Linked DNA regions of Arabidopsis thaliana. The protein of the gene in region 4 interacts with the protein of the main gene of each other region in a pairwise test. Each region holds a gene or a part of one and is shown on either strand. Other genes may lie near its edges. The genes, in order: AT1G03660, AT1G23890, UMAMIT27 and AT2G01970.

What was found.
Region 1: the proteins of AT2G01970 (region 4) and AT1G03660 interact in a protein complementation assay, tested with the Arabidopsis thaliana proteins (one large-scale study listed by BioGRID).
Region 2: the proteins of AT2G01970 (region 4) and AT1G23890 interact in a protein complementation assay, tested with the Arabidopsis thaliana proteins (one large-scale study listed by BioGRID).
Region 3: the proteins of AT2G01970 (region 4) and UMAMIT27 interact in a protein complementation assay, tested with the Arabidopsis thaliana proteins (one large-scale study listed by BioGRID).

Annotation. Positions count from the first base shown.
Region 1 is NC_003070.9:910,755-915,731, forward strand, and holds AT1G03660 (Ankyrin-repeat containing protein), read right to left. Parts: upstream 3,055-4,977; 5' UTR 2,900-3,054; intron 2,842-2,899; exon of another isoform or gene 2,778-2,841; 5' UTR 2,597-2,777; intron 2,483-2,596; 5' UTR 2,412-2,482; intron 1,512-2,411; exon of another isoform or gene 1,329-1,511; intron 1,168-1,328; 5' UTR 1,006-1,167; coding exon 682-1,005; 3' UTR 556-681; downstream 1-555. Other genes in the region: AT1G03650 (Acyl-CoA N-acyltransferases (NAT) superfamily protein), read right to left, coding at 106-349; AT1G03670 (ankyrin repeat family protein), read right to left, coding at 3,468-4,085, 4,155-4,702, 4,784-4,977.
Region 2 is NC_003070.9:8,438,205-8,442,664, reverse strand, and holds AT1G23890 (NHL domain-containing protein), read left to right. Parts: upstream 1-1,798; 5' UTR 1,799-1,861; coding exon 1,862-1,916; intron 1,917-2,000; coding exon 2,001-2,171; intron 2,172-2,487; coding exon 2,488-2,652; intron 2,653-2,783; coding exon 2,784-2,984; intron 2,985-3,069; coding exon 3,070-3,167; intron 3,168-3,248; coding exon of another isoform or gene 3,249-3,252; coding exon 3,253-3,765; downstream 3,766-4,460. Other genes in the region: GAMMA-ADAPTIN 1 (gamma-adaptin 1), read right to left, coding at 6-179, 278-419, 595-897, 1,255-1,286; AT1G23880 (NHL domain-containing protein), read right to left, coding at 4,029-4,460.
Region 3 is NC_003070.9:3,851,566-3,856,161, forward strand, and holds UMAMIT27 (nodulin MtN21 /EamA-like transporter family protein), read left to right. Parts: upstream 1-1,618; 5' UTR 1,619-1,751; coding exon 1,752-1,954; intron 1,955-2,192; coding exon 2,193-2,255; exon of another isoform or gene 2,256-2,429; coding exon 2,430-2,546; intron 2,547-2,776; coding exon 2,777-3,176; intron 3,177-3,304; coding exon 3,305-3,456; coding exon of another isoform or gene 3,457-3,481; exon of another isoform or gene 3,482-3,570; coding exon 3,571-3,694; 3' UTR 3,695-3,942; downstream 3,943-4,596.
Region 4 is NC_003071.7:451,217-456,618, reverse strand, and holds AT2G01970 (Endomembrane protein 70 protein family), read left to right. Parts: upstream 1-1,659; 5' UTR 1,660-1,799; coding exon 1,800-1,951; intron 1,952-2,176; coding exon 2,177-2,217; intron 2,218-2,317; coding exon 2,318-2,903; intron 2,904-2,990; coding exon 2,991-3,128; intron 3,129-3,210; coding exon 3,211-3,367; intron 3,368-3,444; coding exon 3,445-3,929; intron 3,930-4,202; coding exon 4,203-4,422; 3' UTR 4,423-4,761; downstream 4,762-5,402. Other genes in the region: TET14 (tetraspanin14), read right to left, coding at 4,817-5,101.

The DNA.
Region 1 (4,977 bases), on a different chromosome or scaffold from region 4:
TAGAAGTTTGGCAGAATAATTCCACTTCTTCTCTAACGAAATTATATTTTCTGAATTTTATCACTGAGTAATTTCATCGAACAGTTGGCGGACGTTTGTCTATACCTGCGAGCTTGGTGATTGAAGCGGAAAGCGAAGATGGCCAAGAATACATGGCATAGCCTACTGTGTCTCCTTCAGCATCCACGTATAGCAAACCGGCGTTTTTCTTACGCAGCTCTGCATCGAAAGTTTGAGCGAGAGATTCGTGTTTAGGGAACGTTTTCTTCTCCAGCTTCACGATATCTTCCACAACTTTGGCCCAACTGGTCGACCCTCTAATCAGCTCTACCACAACTCCTTTGTCCATTGTACAAAAGATTCGATTTTGTGGAATCTCTCGTTGGTTTCGCAGCCGGTGAGAGCGAGTGAGCCAAGGAAATTGTGATTTGATTTTGATGAAGGTGCGTAGCGACGGCGGGGACGACTTTTAGAAACTATTTGAAATTGTGATTTGACCCACAAATTTAACTTTTGTGACAATTTAGTCCCCAGAAACAGAGGAACTGTATCAGAGACCACACCAAATTAAAAGACAACATATTTGATCAATCACTGTGAACGAACTTATGAAAGATTGCAGATAGAAACAATCAAGAGCTTGAATGTGTAATGGAAAATGTTCACAAACCTACATACACATCACTTATGTGCTTTGGAGCTAAAGACATGGAAGGAATGCCATGGAAGGAGCATCAATACAAGACAAACTCCAAATGCAAATGCAACAACCATAGACCAAAAAGCAAACATGATAAGTACCATGGCTCGTTTCATAGCTTGCTGTATCAGAGGAATATCACCCAGATGTTGTGGCCAAATAAGATTCATTGTAGCTATGACAGACAAGAGCACTGGAATGCTATTGCAAACCAGAAAAACTATGAACACTGCTTTCTTGACCAAACCTGTGATGCCTAAATCTGGAGCAGAACTGGTGTAGATCTTTGTAAATGTGAAACCCATAACAAATGTCACAACTGCTACAATTGTTGTACCACCATAAGCAATAAGATACGTTCTTGTAGTTTAGATATTCTGGGACGCTGTGAAGCACTCAAGAGAATTGGTTGTGTACCATTTGGTGAACTAGCAGATCCCAAAGCCATATCCAAGCTTATTATATCTCTGAAAGATTGAATTAAACGAGACATGATGATAGGACTTCACAAAAACATGTTTTAAAAAGCAGATTCAGAAATTTTATCATAAACTTACTCTCTTTTTCCAATTGAAACCCAAAAAGAATAGTTAGAACTTAAACTTGAAAATACACACTCAAAGATTACCTTAAGACGCTTTGAAATCTAGGTGATGAAGGAAGACGAAGAAAATAATGTTGAAGTTTTGAACTTGTAGCAACCAAAATATTTAATCCTAACAAGTCATTGACTTAATCAAAATAAGAAAGGAGAAGTCTGGATGTGCGTACCAATCAACGACGATGTTTAGCTTGCCGAGCAAGCAATTAAATAATTGAATTAAGGTCGTTGACTCCAACGCAAAAAGTCGATGATTCAAAGGTTGGGTTTTTGTCTTTATCCAAAACAACCTTATAGTTTTAAAAATATAATTTTAAAAACATTTTAAAATAAAATAAAAATAAGTGTTAAAAATCTAAATTATGTGTAAACTATATTGAACCTAGGACACTTCTAAGGGGTTTGGATGTTGTGTCTAATTAGTTTAACACAATATTTAAAAATTTAACATTTATCCAAAAAAAAACTTATAGTTTCAATAGTAATATAAAAATATAATTTTAAAAACATTTTTTAATAAATTAAAAACAAATGTTAAAATTTTTAATTATGTGTAAACCATATTGAATTTAGGACACCTCTTAGGGTTTTAGATGTTGTGTCTAATTAGTTTACATAACATTTAAAAATTTAATATTTATCCAAAAAACCCTTATAATTTTAATAGTTATATAAAAATATAATTTTAAAAACTTTTTATAATAAAATGATGATAAGTATTAAAAATTTAAATTAAGTGTAAACCATATTGAACCTAGGACACCTCTTAGGGGTTTGGATGTTATGTCCAATTAGTTTACACAAAATTCAAAAATTTAACACTTATCCAAAAAACCTTTATAGTTTTAATAGTTATATAAAAATATAAGTTTAAAAATATTTTTTAATAGAAGAGAAACAATTGTTAAAAATTTAAATATGTGTAAACGAAAACAGTTTGTTAAATAAAATTAAAAACTACTGTTGAAAATACTTTTATTTTTTTGTTGAAAACAAAAACATTTTGTAATTTATTATTTTTAAAAAATGAACGAATAATAGAAGAAATAACTTACATGGAATCGTGTTAAAAAAAAAAAAATAATAATAATAATAATAATAATAACTTACATGGAATAAGTGTTGAATTGTTGATGAACAGTGTTTGTCCACAAATCTAGTAGGCGATAACTTTCAATAGGCTGAAATTGAATAAAACGAAGAAAGGAGTGAATATTTGGTTTAGGGCTAAATTTAGAGACAGTAGACAAAAAAAAAAAAAGAGAAAAGCATAGAGGATTTTGGAAATTACTTACCGTTACAGGTCAAGAAAGAGAGGACTATGACTTTATGAGATTGGTGTTACTGCATCATCCCTAGCCCTAATGGAATTGGACAAGGAAGAACGGTGATTGTAAACGACGATTGGGCCTTGTTCTCTCCGGCGATGACTGGAATCAAACGCCGACGACGTTTATTGTTCTAAATCTTCTTAAACTTCAAACCATCAAAGATAAACATAATCCAAAACAAACCCTATTAAAGATTAAACAGAACAACGAAACTCACAATTAAAAGCAAAAGAGATTCACACCAAAATAGTTTCAGATAACACGTACCGACTGAGTCAAAATCCAATCGATCCATAGATCCTCCGAAGAAAAATAGAAATGAAAGATGGTTTCTTTTGTTTTCGTTTTGCAGAAGAAGAAGAAGAAGAAGATGAATGAAGAATTAGTTATTTTACAAGGAAGAAGAGTATTTATAAGCAAACGTTGTTCAATAGAAAAAAGGAAATTTCTATTGTTTCCTTTTTGTTTTCGACTAGGTTAAGAAAAAGGAAATTTTAATTAGGCTGCAAAAAAAGAAAAGGAAATTTCCTCACAACGGTCATATTTGTATCTTACTGCGTAACAACAATTTATCAAGACAAATTATTTGAGGTTTCTTATTTTTGAAACAGAGAATTTGGCCTTGAAAGCGAGAGGAGCAAAGTCGGGATCATGCATGTGAGCTCTTTGCAACAGCCAACGGTCATATTTGTCTCTGTACCAATTTTTGTGGTTACTTAGTAAAACCACAATTACAAACTCGTGAGATACAAAAACTGTTAAAAACAAACAGAACACTAACCATCCATCATCCATGATACAAAACAGAGCAGAATAGAACAGAACAGAGCATTCTTTAACCATCCATGTTGTTGCTGCCTTCGCTAACAACCAAAAGCATCAAGAAATAAGGAAAGTAGAAGATATGTCTGAGAAAGCCATGTCTTGTAGACGAGAAAGCGTAAGGAATGATAAGTAGCATCAGGAATACCAAGAAGGCTGAATCTATGGCTAATACAAGATGGGAAAGCCATGGGAGATCGCTCACCACAAGAGTAAGTCCAGCCACAGATGCCATCATCATTGATACAACAGCTGTTAACAGAAGTGGTAAAGCTAGTCGAAAAGCTTTCTTTGTCAGAAGTGCATCACCCAGTTGTGCCCATATTAGAGCCATTACAGTTACCACAGAAGTGCACATTGCAATGTTGTTCAACAACAGAAATACCTTAAAATTCAACTTATTGACCAATGCAGCCATGCCTAAATGTGGAGCAGAACTCATGTAACCACCGGGTAATGTCAAACCTGCAGCGAAGGTCACGGTTGCTACGAGTGTTGCAGTCACCATAAGAGTATTGACACTATCCTTGTATCTTTCTGGACTTTGTTTGCTACTCTGTGACACAGTCAAGGGAATCAGGTTTGGGCCATGTGGTGCTCCAGCAGATACCAAAGCCATCCAAATCAATCTCTGTAAACCAATAAAAAAAGTTACATGAGACTTTATCATTAACTACATGAATCTTCAAATTTGACATACCTTGTAAAGTACGTAAGCGTTATTGTCCTTCATCGTCTCAGCAATATCTAAAGCTGTAAAGCCTTCATTGTTGAGTGCTCTGAGGTTAATCCCATCGTTCCATGTAAGCATATTCACAACTATCGGGTATCTGTGTTTAGTGGCTAGGTGTAACGGTGTATTCCCATTGATATCTTGTTCATTCATCATTCTTTTCCCTTCATCAAGTTTTAAAAGATACTTGACAACTTTCGACTTACCAGCTATGGCAGCAACGTGAAAGATATTCTGACATTGATTGTTAAGTAGCTCTCTTGAGTCAGGACAGTGTTTAAGAAACTCCTTAATGATTCTGACATGTCCTTCCTTTGCCGCCATATGAATAGGAGTGAAGCCATCATCATCAGCGACATAACAAAGGCTTGAAGCTGCTTTGTCAAACTCTGCTAGTATATAGCGAATTCCCTCATAACATCCCATTGATGCTCCATAGGAAAGACATGTCCTTCCTTCTTCGTTGCGTAATTCAATAAGTCCTGGATCTTGTCTAAGAACAATACCTAGGATATCTGTCAAAGCAATGACCAAGAAATAATTAAAACATATAAAGAACACTTGGCGTACAAGGTTGAACAAACATAGAAACAAACCTCTTCTATTGGCCTTCATTGCTGCATGTATAACAGATTTTCCACTGAACATCGAAGCTAGTATAGATGGGGAAGATGAAGATTCAAGCATTTTAAGCACGAGCTCGTGATATCCAGCTTCTACAGCCATGTATAATGGAGATGCTTCATCATTGTTCTTATCAAATGATACATCATGCTTCACACTTACTAGG
Region 2 (4,460 bases), on a different chromosome or scaffold from region 4:
CTTACCGTTCTGAAGTACTCTAGGGCTTCATCATTAATCGTGCATAATTCATAACAAAGTTGAACTCCTGTTATAAGAACCCCATGATGCTTTTCTTTAAGCAAGGAAGCAGCAGCATTTACGAAGTTTTCTGCTAGATCTGGAACTTTCCTTATTATTCTAGTAGAGCAAAGCGCCGCCTGCATATAATACAACATAAATGGTAAAGGCAATGAAGGAAAAAAAAAAAGCGACTAAACTCCAGGAGACCCTGTATATGAATTAGAAAACACTTCACCTTCTTTCGGATATTAGGGTCACGAAACTGGATTAATCTTTCTACTTCTGGCGCAAGATCACGGGCCATTTCTGCTGAACAAATATTCCCTAAAGCACAGAGAGCAAGTCCTACAACATACTGGTTCGAGTGATTAAGATCTCTGCACGTGACTTAAGGTTAAACAGGAACAAATCTATTTAAATATTTTTCTCCTTAATTCCCATAACAGCAATGCAATCAAAAATCAAGTGTTCTCTAGTATTTTTTAACATAGAAGAAGAATCCATTCAAAGGCCAAGGTATCAAGATTTAATACTAGAAATTAGTAAGGATACTGTTTTAACGAATTTGTGACAAGCATCAACACTTCTTGTCTCTCATCAAGAAGCAACATTAGCCCTAGATATCCAATCCTCTTCTCTGGAAATCCAGGAGATGCAATTAGCTTCAAGCACTCCATCTGCCCAAAGTGTGTGGGATAACCCAGCATGTGTATAAACATGAGTTTCGCAAGGTTCCGGTGCCGATCATGCGGGTCATCTTCATTAATCAATGCTCGAATATCGGCACACTCCTTTCTTACAACAGCTCGCTCCTCCGCAGCTGTTTTGCATGCTCTTATGGCACGGATCATGTCCCTGAATCATACTCATATGTCCACTATAACTTCAGAACCATATACAATAATCCGATCTGATTCCACTATTAAACCCCAACAGCAACATGACCAATCCAATATTCAATTAAATTAAGCAAAAGGATTACCAAAAATCCTTAGTGTGATCATGTTCTTAGACTAAAATCAAAATTCTAAATGGAATCAGAAACACCAATACCAAATTCATCTTCGAAACAGGCCAATCAACAAAATTCAATCCTCAAATGAAAACGAGCTCAATTACATCATGTTATATTCAAATTTCATTTGTAAGCTGATCAACGACTAAGAAACCTGAAACAGAAACGATAAAAAGGAAAGAAGAGAATCAATTTACCTTAAACGAGTACCAGAAGAAAAGGGATTCATGATTTGGGGTGTTCAAGAGTTGGACCTTGGTCCACCGGCAACTTTACGAGGAATCTGAAGAAAATGAAAACTTAGCCGGGAAGAAGAGTTTCGCCGCCGGGATTGTGAAAATCCGTTACCGGAGTTTCGAGTAGCTGATCAATACGAGAGAGAGAGATGAAAATGAAACTGAGGATTTGGATCTCGATGGACGATGCTCGTTTTTTTCTTCTCAGTCTTCGTAAACCATAATTGCCAAATTAAATGCGTTGTATAAACATGACTTCCATTTCCACCTAAACGGTAACGTTTCGACCAGCAATCCTCTCAAAACAAAAACATAGACTGGGCCGTTTCTTTATAGTTAAACACATAAATGGGCCCTACTTGGGCCGTTTTTATTAGTCAAATTTGAGAGGGTCGATGATACGCGCTCTTTCATTGGTTGTTACACAAATTCTCCCCTACACTTGAACACATCATAGTATCGCTCAGGCCCTAGTATCTTTTTAAAACCTTTAAAGATGCTAAGCAGCAAAAATAAGTAACACAACACAAGTTACACAGAACAGTCGCTTTCTCCTCTCGATTTTGACATGGCTTGGGGATTTTCGTCCGTGTCTCTCTTCTTGTTCGTCGTTTTCAATCTGGGTATATTTTCAAAAATCTGTTAATTCAGTTGAATTTCCCAACCCAAAATTCGAATTTTTAATTTTCCTCATGATTTTGTTACAGTGAGTGGTAAGATAGTTTTAGAAGAAGGGTACGAAGTCACAACGGTGGTCGATGGCCATAAGTCTGGTCTGAATCCATACACGATTCATGCTTTACCAGGATCTTCTAATCTGATCGTCCTTGATTCTTCCGGCAGTACATTTTACACTACTTCCTTTCCTTTGTCCGTTGGTAAACACCCACAAAACCACTCTTTTGTCTCATCTATTAATCGGATCATTATAATTGTGTTTGTATATGAGTTGTAAATTCATGGATGCATAAGTAAATGTTTAGAGCTTGTTGATTTTGATTGCAAGTCTTGACCTTCATTTTTTCTTTCTCCGTAATCTCAAATTGGACCACAATACTAATATGTGTGTGTATGTGTGTGAAACGATCAACCTGCAAATAAAAGTTCTAAACTTTACTATAAGTGAAAATTTTGTTTATCTTTCTTTCAATTGAAGTTTGAGCTCACTTTGAGTATGTGTGTGTGGTTGTGCAGATAGTGTGATAAACCGGTTTGCTGGGGATGGGAGTTCGGGTCATGTAGATGGTAAAGCTGGTAACAGCCGGTTCAGCAAACCCCGTGGTTTTGCTGTGGATGCTAAAGGGAATGTTTATGTTGCTGATAAGAGTAATAAAGCTATACGGAAGATCAGCTCTTCAGGTGTTTGTTTAATCCATTTCTTGTATTCCTTTTGTATAAATGCTAGTTGTTGTTGTTGTCTAATCTTAGTTTGTTGAAAGAGCCACTTAGTTTATTTTGATTATGCATGTTTTATTTACTGGACTTTGTAGGTTCTGTAACCACCATTGCTGGAGGGATCTCAAAGGCATTTGGACACAGAGATGGACCTGCACAGAATGCTACTTTCTCTAGCGATTTCGAGATAACTTTTGTTCCTCAAAGATGTTGTTTGCTTGTTTCTGATCATGGAAATGAAATGATTCGCCAGATAAATCTTAAGGAGGAGGATTGCCTCGAAAACTCTCATTCTAGTATGTCTTTTCTATAAGTAATCTTTTGTGGATTTGACTAACCATGCCTTTGGAAACTTCAACGATTCTTCTTTCACTGTTTCAGATTTGGGGACATACTCTCTTTGGTCAATAGGGATTGTCCTTTCCTGCATTCTCGGGGTAGCCATTGGATTTGCTGTTCGCCCTTACGTCATCCGTCATGTAAGTTTTTTTTAATCTATCCTCATATTACATACTAGTGTATAATCAACATATCAAATCTCTTAAACCAAATCGTTATAGACAGGAAGAAGTGAACCACCTCTCGTTCATCATGACATGGAAGCTTCTCCTAACCAAATTGGGGGAACAAGTTCTGACCTTCTTCTCCTACATTAGAAACCGAGTTGCTGAATCAACCGTTTATTCAGTATTAAGTAGACTAGTTATGATGATCGTGTCTCACCTTTCCCTCATGTATTCCGCCCTAAGTAGTTTAATTTGTTCGATGGTATCTAGCCTTTTCTTCATGTGTCAACCCAATAATGTAGCTATTTTAGACAAAACAGTCTCTGTGTCTGATCCCGAGAGTCCAGGTTGCGGCAACCCAAAGCCGCCCCTTTCACTGAAACCCTCTGATGATCTTATTGACCTAATAAGCTTTGATGATGAACAAGAACCTAACAATGACAAAGATTGCAGGAATGAAGAGACTCTTCCTCATGCAACCATAGATGACATTATAAAGGTTCATGTTGAAGAATTTTCAAAGATGGCTGAAGAAGATACTGTAATTCATGGTTCTTCATCTACTGAGTAGGTTTCAGTTAAAAGCACATGAATCAGAGAGTATGTGTCTTTTGTAAATGTAAAGTTTGGTTGAGTTGAAAAATCTTTGAATATTTATTGAAGTGCTCATCTTTTTTTCTTTATATCAAGGAAGAATGATTAATCTTTGGTACTTTTCTTACAAGAGAGATCTAAATACCCAAATCCCTATTGTGCCTTCTCAACAAATTTTAAAAAACTATACCTGAATTCCCAATCTCTACTACTACTATCATATTAAGCAACTTCTCATGTCTATGAATAGTATCCATATGGGTAACTCACAAATTGGTGAGCTCTGTGGTGGATATTCTGATGAGTATTCATCTGGTCTTGCTCCTGGCCTGGCCCAAACACAATCTCATTAGTCTTCTCGCTGCTCTGCTCATAAAGAGTGTATGGGATTGTTGAGTGATGCCTATGGTGATACTGCTGATGCTTCTCTTGTTGCTGCTCCTGGAGGAATTCGGCGTCCAAGCTTCTGTACAAGGCACGGCTTTGGCGCAGCTGTTGCATTTTCTCTGTTGCATCTTTGGACATGAAAGGATAAATTTTTCCAGGAGTGGCGTTCCTGGACTCGACGGGAGGTGGTTCATCTTTGTTGTGTATTACAAAGCTTTCTTGAATTGGCCATGAAGTTGTGCTAAAAGCAGAATGCTTTGTTTCTTGATGGTTGAAGTTCAAGCC
Region 3 (4,596 bases), on a different chromosome or scaffold from region 4:
TTTCAAAAGTTTAAATATATTTGATTGTAACCATTTATATAATAGAATATGTTTTTTACTAGTTGAATTAGTTTTATTTTAACAATTTATATATATAAAATAAACAAAATATTTTTTTTATTATTTCTTAATTTATGTGAAAAACTTTAGATATGATTTAATATGAAAAGATAGAATATATTATATACCAATCTTGTAAATTTATTCTAGAACTAAGTCAAAACCACTAACTTTTCTTTTGTGACAACTTTTTTATAAAAAAAATTTAACATCATTAGAACCACTAACTCAATTGTTATTATATTTGGTGAATTGATCTAATTAGTAGAAGGAATATATATGTCTGCACTACTGGAGAGAAAATGCCCCGTCCATTATGTTCTAAGCCTTTTCTAGATAACTTACTGAATCTAAAAATAGCATCTGCTTTTTGTCCCTACAAAGTTATATGGACAAACTAAAGGAATGAAAGAGTTCGATATACCCAAATGGGGATAATATAATTTTTTCATCAACTTTAAAAGTTCAAATATAGAGCTAATTATACGCATTTATAATTAACAAAAACGAGATAGTGCAAAACAAGATGGATCCAATGAAAAGACAAAAGAGAATAATTAATGGATCGAATATAATTCAAAATGGGCACAAAACAAATTTGCACGCAAAAAGTTATTGAATGAGAGTTGCAAAATCTCATATAGTACTTATTTACTACATATGATTAGTTTATCTCGTTGAAAAGTTCGTGTTTTTTCCTATTTTGCACCAAATTCAACAAATCCTTGAGTCAGTCCAATTACAATTGAAAGTAAAGAACCCAAACTTGAACCTATACGACCAGACGGAGACGGGCATGCAAGTGTTTAAGTGTCATTAGATTACAAATGTTTAAGTGTCATTAGATTACACGAAGTATAGATTTAGATATACCAACTAGCTCGGGTTTGCATGACTTATTTTTTCTCACTAAACTCAGTTACATCATCTCTCCGACTCTCTTTTATGAAAATCATTTTGCTAATTAATAAGGTGCGCGGCAGATAACACGCATGATAAAGCCAATGTATCGGTTTCTCATTTACTCATATAACGTATAAAATGGAAAAGCTAATTCATCGGCGCCTCATGAAACGTGTGATAAAGCCAATGTATCGGTTCTCATTTCTACTATATAATAAATAAATAAATATAACAGTAAATATACACATATTGACCGGAAAAAAAAAAGATTGTTACCGCATGAGCAGTTATATTTGTGACGACTTCTTAAACTTAAGTATCCTACTAATTTTGTTCTTTCATTAGTTAATAATATGCTCGGGTTTGTAGTAGTGCTTTGTTCTTCACAAACGCTTATCCTATATAAAAAGAAAGTTTTTTTAGACCAGAAAAGTAAATAAAATTAAGCTAGTTGTGTGTAGGAACATTCAACTTGTTCAAATATTTGAACTATTTTGTAATTTATAATTTTACATAATGTGGAACAAGATTCTAATATTATTTAAATTGAACTTGACAGCACTAAGTTTTTTATTTATTTATTTTTGATAGAAAGACCACTAAGTTAATATAATAGAGCAATAATTCAGGGGTTTTTTCTATTAAAATGACAGAACCCAAACACAGTACTCTTTCTTATAAGTTATAAATATGGGAAGGGTGGTTGCCAAACTCAAAGTACTTTGGGTCTTAACTCTTTCTAACACACAAACTCACATAGAATTCAAGAAAGAGAGAACGAGGGAGAGATGGGTGAGGATATGCGAGGAGTGAAAGTAGTCTCAAAATGGCCACCGATGATAGTTATGGTGACATCACAAGTAGCGATGGGTTCGGTGAATGCACTTGTGAAGAAAGCTCTTGATGTTGGTGTGAACCATATGATCATTGGTGCTTATCGAATGGCTATTTCCTCTTTCATTCTGGTTCCTATCGCCTATTTTTTGGAAAGGTTTATTGATATTTTGATGAAAATAGTTGAGTTATATATTTTTCTTATGCAAAATTTTCAAAAATTTGATTATATCAAAATAGTTTTTTCATATTTACATAATTAACAACATTTACTACAATTGAAGATTGTCAGAATGCTCTATTATAACATGTAAATAAACACCACTACATGTTACTAATATATGAAGTAGATTGATATTTTCTTTCCCCTAAAGTTTATGTCTTATTGTTAACAGGAAAATAATACCGAAAATAACGTTTAGGCTAATGGTCGATCATTTCATCAGTGGTTTGCTCGGGTTTGTCTTCTCACAATTTCTTATGTTCTTTTGTCGTCCATTTTCCATTTTCCTTTTCCATTATACATTGATTGTTTCCACAGAAGAAAGATTTTCTTTCAAGTGAGCATAAAATCTTCATAAGCTAGCTAAATTGTTTTTAATCTTAGCTTAGTTTTGGGTTTAAATTTGCAGGGCGAGTTTGATGCAATTTTTCTATTTGCTTGGTCTGTCCTACACGTCAGCAACTGTTGCGTGTGCTTTGGTAAGCTTGATGCCTGCAATCACCTTTGCTTTCGCTCTTATTTTGAGGTAATTATGGAACCATCTAACTTCTTTATCATTAAAATAAGTACTGTATTTACTATTACTATGCAATGGGTTCATGCAGGATTTATTCGTATTTGTTATGTATACAGTGCATATAATTTCTTTTGTTTTTTCATCAAGCATATTATACTTCTATATATAGAAATACTCAAAAGAACCTTACTCATAAATTATCTCAAATTTATCATCTAAAAGGTTATATTACTTTTCAGAACTGAGAAGATAAAAGATCTAAAGACCCAAGCAGGAATGATAAAAGTGATGGGAACTCTAATATGTATAAGTGGAGCTTTGTTCTTAACATTTTACAAAGGCCCTCATATATCAAACTCTCACTCTCACCTAGAGGCTCTTCCTCACAACAACAGCGATCACAACACCAAGAATTGGCTTCTTGGATGTCTCTACTTAGTCATAGGAATCGTGTTGCTATCTCTATGGATATTGTTTCAAGGGACTTTAAGCATCAAGTATCCTTGCAAATTCTCAAGCACTTGTCTCATGTCAATTTTCGCAGCTTTTCAATGTGCTCTATTGAGTCTTTACAAGAGTAGAGACCTTAAACATTGGATCATCGACGATGGATTTGTGATTGGTGTCATAATATATGCTGTAAGTTATAATACTATATTATCAGAAATCTTAACATTTTTATAAATTATAATGTAGTATATATGTAAATAATTAAATAAATTTTGGGGTTTACCTAATATTACCTTATTACTATACACGTATTATAGGGAGTGATAGGACAAGCAATGTCGACTGTAGCAGCGACATGGGGAATAAACAGATTAGGAGCTGTTTTCGCATCAGCAATTATGCCAGTTTCTCTCATATCGGCTACTCTATTCGATTTCCTTATCTTACACACTCCTTTATACCTCGGAAGGTGCTCTCTTCGATCATCTCTATGAAATTTTTTGTATAGCTTTATAGATGTTAATGTATTAGGTTCATGCTCGTATTACTAATTACAATTTATTTTGTAACTTTTGCTATACAGTGTGATTGGATCAGTAGGGACAATAATAGGTCTCTACGTGTTCTTGTGGGGTAAGAACAAAGAAACGGAAGCAGACATAACTACATTGTCTTCTCGGATGAACAACGAAGATCAACGAGTCTAGGTCGCCCATTTAATCAAATAATATTGTTGTCATAGAAAGATTCATATGGCTTCATTGTCGTAAATTAGTATTTACTACTGAATACATTTACCGTAAAGACCAGTCATAAATATTTAGATTTAAATTGTGCAAGCACACTCACGTTAAAGACCAGTCATAAATATTCAGATTCAAATTGTGCAAGCAGTTTGTATAATTCATACTTTTCGTTTGCAGATTTATAATTTCGTAAAGAGATAACAAAACAGATTTGTTATAATATTCAAAACTAACCAATATAAAGCATATATGATATATCAAAACATTTCACAACAGATCTGTTAAAAGAGCCTCGTAATATTGTTTTTAGTTTCAAAAGCTCTGTTTCTTGGATTATTTTCGTGCTGATTTTAAATGTGTTGCGTTTTGAGTTTGTAGCCTGTTGCTAAAACAGTAAGAATTTAAGGTCTAGAAAAAATAAAGACCAATTGTAATTAGTACTACTGTATATATATTATGCACTACTGGAGTGAAAATGCCCCGTCCATTTTTTCTAAGCCTTACCTTAATCTAGAATAGCATCTGCTTTTTGTCCCTACAAAGTTCGACGGACAAAATAAAGGAAGGCAAAATTTCGATACCCATATTGGGGAGAAACAACTATATACTAATACAGTATAATTTTTTTCATTAACTTCTATATTGAAATGTATAACAATTATTATGTGCATTATAAATAACAAAAACGAGGTACTGCATGGATCCAGTGAAAGGACAGAGCGTAAAAGGGATCGAATCCAAATTGGGAACAATAAAATGGAGAATTATTGAATGAGAGTTGCAAAAATCTCATATAATTATGATAACTTTTTCCCATCATATCGAATCAGAATTCAATATGACGTGGTCATCGTAGATGGGGA
Region 4 (5,402 bases):
ATAAGTATTCCAAAACCTGGTTTGGCCTTAAAAGGAAAAGAAATATTCGTAGTTGGTTTTTTGACATTTTGGGACATATTTTTCTTATGATTTAATTGATAAGACCTCTTACTGTTGTACTTTTTTGAATAAACAATTGCAAATGTAAATTGGCTATTTTAGAATTAGACGACTAGCCTACCAAAAATACATTTATAATGTGGATTTTGATATGTGTGTGAGTGTGTTTACTTCGTGGAGTTTGATGTGTTTAAGGTTTCGAAAATATTTGAGAATTTGGATTAGCCTGACTCTATTCGGCTGATCCAAAACATTAATCTGATACCTTTCAATTCTTCACGTTAAATTTATAATATTTTTTAAACTTTCAATTATGCTTAGCTGATGCACAACAACATTTTCAATTTCGCATATCAGAATAACACCAATTATCATTTTCATGCTACCCAGAAGCACCTACAAGGTATCAAGTGTGCATGTTAAAAGACTGTTTGGGTTAGTATTGATTAATCGACCAACCGTCGATCCTAATGAAATGCTCAAAGATAGAATCCAACATAAAGAATCTCTATTGGTATTCAAGATTTGCTTATAGAGTAGTGATTGTTAGTTAGTTAGTTTGTTATTCTTTGATTTTCCAATCAGCTTACGAAGATTTTTCAAGAGTAGAGATGCTAACAACATGCATAATAATTTGTCTAATGGTAAATTCTACAATAGGAAAAGAGTTTACATTGATTACTCTATCATTAGTAGTTCAGGGGATAGTAGATGTTTGTTTTGTTCTAAGGCTTATGTTTATGCTCTGGAAAACTGGTTCCAGGCGAGAAGATTCAGAGAGAACTCGTTGATGGATTACATATCATGGTCGCTGATGAGTGTATGATTCGCCACCACCATCAAAGAAGGTGCAAAATCAATAAGTATCAGAGCTGTTACAAAAATAAACTTTATAAATAAATAAAATTATTGTCTGTGTAATTAACATCTTAATTTTATAGTGTTCTTATTTATCTGGTTTGGTTGCAAAAAATTGAGTTTAGTTAAGATAATCAGGTATATAAATTACTACATCATTCATTTTATGTACAAAAAATTTGGTTTATATTCCAATTGATAATACTTTTTACTTGCTTTGCTTTAATCAATTTCATAAACGAGATACTATTGTGAAAAAAAAAAACGAGGCACTATTGATCTTTTTTCTTTTGACCACCTTTTTATTTGTATCTTCATCATCATGATTTTGTTAAAGAGTAAAAAGAACATTACTGATTGTTATAGTCACATGGAATGCAATAAAACTCCTATAAATAGTAGAAAGCACAAGAACGAGAGAATCACTCTACCAATAGAAAATTGCTACTTATTAAAAAAAAAACGACAATTGTAACAAAAAATATCGATTATAGAAAGTTTTATTTGCTTCAGTTTATATCACTTGCCTCTGCCATTCACAAGTTTCTTACGAAACGTATTAAATAATTTAAAATTTTGTGAATTAATACGAATTTTGTTTAGAAGATTTAAGAAAACAACCAAAAATAAAATATATAAAAATAATCATTTCAATTTCTAAAAAAAATATTAAAATGTCGCAGATTTTATTTTCTTACATAATGCTTTTTATTCGCAATATTTTTTCTTAAGCATTTAGTAGAAGAAAATTCGTTAAAAAGAGAGATAAAATAAATAAAAGTAATATAATCGTCCTTTTGCCATAAGCGTTGCTCTCAAAAATATAAAGCAAACTCAGATCTCACGATTTTCTTCTTCCTCTCACATTAACACACATCATCATGAGATTACCAACGACGCTGCTCCTCTTTATCGGAGCTCTCATCTTCTCCGGCGCCGGTACTGTCAGATCCGATGCCTCCGACCACCGTTACAAGGACGGTGACTCCGTTCCTCTCTACGCCAACAAGGTCGGCCCCTTTCACAATCCCAGGTAAATCCAATTCTCTAATCTCAGTTCCTTTGTCGGTAGCTTAGATCTGTGATTCTCTTTGATGAGTGATAAATTGATCGTTGCAAATTTCTGTAGAAGCTTGCGTTGGTATTGAATTTTTGTATCTGACCTTGAAAAAATTCGATTCGTGTTCTTAAAATGTGATAGATCTTCGATTGCATTGTTATATGACTGATTTTTACTTGTGTTTGATGATTGTTGCAGTGAGACGTATCGCTATTTCGATCTCCCCTTTTGTATTCCAGGTACGAGCACGCTCAATGTTGTCTCTGTTATGTGTGGTTTTTCACTTTTTTCGGATTTGTGTATTTTGGTGTCAATATGCATTTGTTTTGGTTTGTGTAGAGGGTGTGAAAGATAAGAAGGAAGCTCTTGGTGAGGTTTTGAATGGGGATAGGCTTGTTAGTGCTCCATACAAGCTTAACTTTAGAGATGAGAAAGACTCAGAGGTGTACTGTAAAAAGAAGCTTAGTAGAGAAGAAGTTGAACACTTTCGAAGAGCTGTTGAAAAAGATTATTACTTTCAGATGTATTATGATGATTTGCCTATTTGGGGATTCATTGGGAAGGTGGACAAAGAGAGCAAATCTGATCCTAGCGAGTTTAAATATTTTCTCTACAAACACATCCAGTTTGAGATTTTGTACAATAAGGATCGGGTGATTGAAATCAATGCTAGAATGGATCCTCATTCGCTTGTGGATCTTACTGAGGATAAGGAAGTCGATGCTGAGTTTATGTACACTGTGAAGTGGAAGGAAACTGAGACTTCTTTTGAGAAAAGAATGGATAAGTATGCTATGTCTTCTTCTCTTCCACATCACTTGGAAATCCACTGGTTCTCCATTATTAACTCCTGCGTCACTGTCCTTCTTTTGACTGGTTTCCTTGCAACCATCCTGATGCGGGTCCTCAAGAATGATTTCATGAAGTAAGTTTTGAATGCTAACTCTTTGTGCTTGACTCACCGATGCACACTTTTGTTTCCAACCATTAACTTTTCCCCTAACTTTCAAAGGTATGCTCAAGATGAGGAAGCTGCTGATGATCAAGAGGAAACCGGATGGAAATACATTCATGGAGATGTCTTCCGGTTCCCAAAGAACAAATCTCTCTTTGCTGCATCTCTTGGTAGCGGTACCCAGTTGTTCACTCTGTAAGTCTCTTTTCAGCCTCCTTCGTTTATCTTTAGTTATTCTTTGCCATTACTAACTGTAATATACCTCATATGTCATCAGGACCATCTTCATTTTCATGCTTTCACTTGTTGGAGTGTTCTATCCATACAACCGTGGAGCACTCTTCACTGCTTTGGTCGTTATCTATGCTCTCACATCTGGAATTGCCGGATACACTGCCTCCTCTTTCTACTGTCAACTCGAAGGAAAGAATTGGGTATGTAAACCCTTTCCCTTTACTCTTTTCAACTTAAAGTGATAAGCTTTTCATTTCTCACCGTTCTTCCTCTTCAGGTGAGAAATTTGCTGCTAACTGGAGGTCTCTTCTGTGGCCCACTATTTCTCACCTTCTGCTTCCTAAACACCGTTGCAATCGCATACAGTGCAACTGCCGCTCTTCCCTTTGGAACCATCATAGTGATCGTCCTCATATGGACACTAGTCACTTCGCCTTTACTTGTGTTGGGTGGTATTGCCGGTAAAAACAGCAAAGCTGAGTTCCAAGCTCCAGTCCGCACCACTAAGTATCCTCGGGAGATCCCGCCACTCCCATGGTACAGGAGTGCTGTACCGCAGATGGCCATGGCTGGATTTCTTCCTTTCAGTGCCATCTACATCGAGCTATATTACATCTTTGCCAGTGTTTGGGGCCATCGTATCTATACCATTTACAGCATCCTCTTCATCGTCTTCATCATCCTGTTGATCGTCACTGCTTTTATAACAGTTGCCCTTACTTACTTCCAACTCGCTGCTGAAGATCATGAATGGTGGTGGAGGTAAATTTTTCCACCCAAGCTGGTTTTTTAATTCGGTTTTTGGTATATGGAATATAGAAAACCAAATGATAATACCAAATACAAATAGCTTAGAATTGCTATGGTTTGTGTTTCGTTTTAGTATCAGTTTCAAACTGATTACTTACGTAGGGTTTCAGTTTGGCTTGATTAGGCACATCTACTAAATCCTTCCGTAGATTTTAAATTCGAATTTGAATTGGATTGGTGATAATAAAATTACATTGTTATAGTTATTAATATTCTTTGTTGCAGATCATTCCTATGTGGTGGATCGACTGGTCTGTTTATATATGCGTACTGCTTATACTACTACTACGCAAGATCAGACATGTCTGGTTTCATGCAAACATCCTTCTTCTTCGGGTACATGGCTTGCATTTGTTACGGTTTCTTCCTCATGCTTGGAACCGTTGGCTTCCGCGCTGCTCTCCTCTTCGTCCGCCACATTTACCGGTCGATTAAATGCGAGTAAAACTGTTGCTGCCAATCACCCTCCCCCTTACGATTTTTGGTAGAACAAAGAAGATGATAATCTGTTCTTAGGTAGATAAAGAAGAAGACTTCTTCGAAGCCAGAAACTGAATACCAAATCGCTCTGTGGTCACATTTTTTTTCCTTTTTGTTAAAATGTTTTGTGGCAGTTTGTTTTCTGTGATATGATTTATAGACGAAACTATGTTTGTTTAGGTGAAGTCTTTCTCTTCTCTACTACTTTAGAGAGTTATCTTCTTTTTTTGGTAATTAATTAAGATAACTTTGTAACCTTTTTTTTATTGATCTATATATATTCTAAAGACGAAAAAATAACAACTCTCTTGAACCAAATCGCTAATCTATTCGATCAAAATCATCTATGAATTTGTGATCTATCTAAACAAAGAGGTGAGGGAAGATAAGAAAACACCGAACTGCCACCATTTGCGCAGCCTTGGAGACTTAATGATCCTAACCTGACAAGTCATACAATCATAGTACAACACACTTAACTCGTGTCTCCACATATCGTAATAATCCTTTATGTCTGCATTGCCACCGTAACGATCATAGATCATTGCCGTTTCCAAAGGTGGTCCTTCACGATTTCTTGTAACCCACAATGTTGCATTGACCGTCTCTAGTTTGCAATTCCCTGGCCGATTGCAGCATCCAGTCTAACACAACAAACAACAAGAACAAAAGATTATGACTTTTTTAAAAATATATCAAGAAAAGATTTTCTCTTTCGTCATATCTTATTAGGATTTAGTGGTATTAAATCTTGCATATCACGGCTTCAAATATTTAAAACAAATTAATATATGTACTTTAAATAAACTAATTTTTCAAAATCTTAATTGGATAAATAAAAAGATTTTTTTGGAACAAAAACCAACAATACTTTTAAAAACTACTACGGGTGTATTCAAATTAGAATTTAAAGTGATTTGAATTTTGTTGAGTTTTTAAATGATT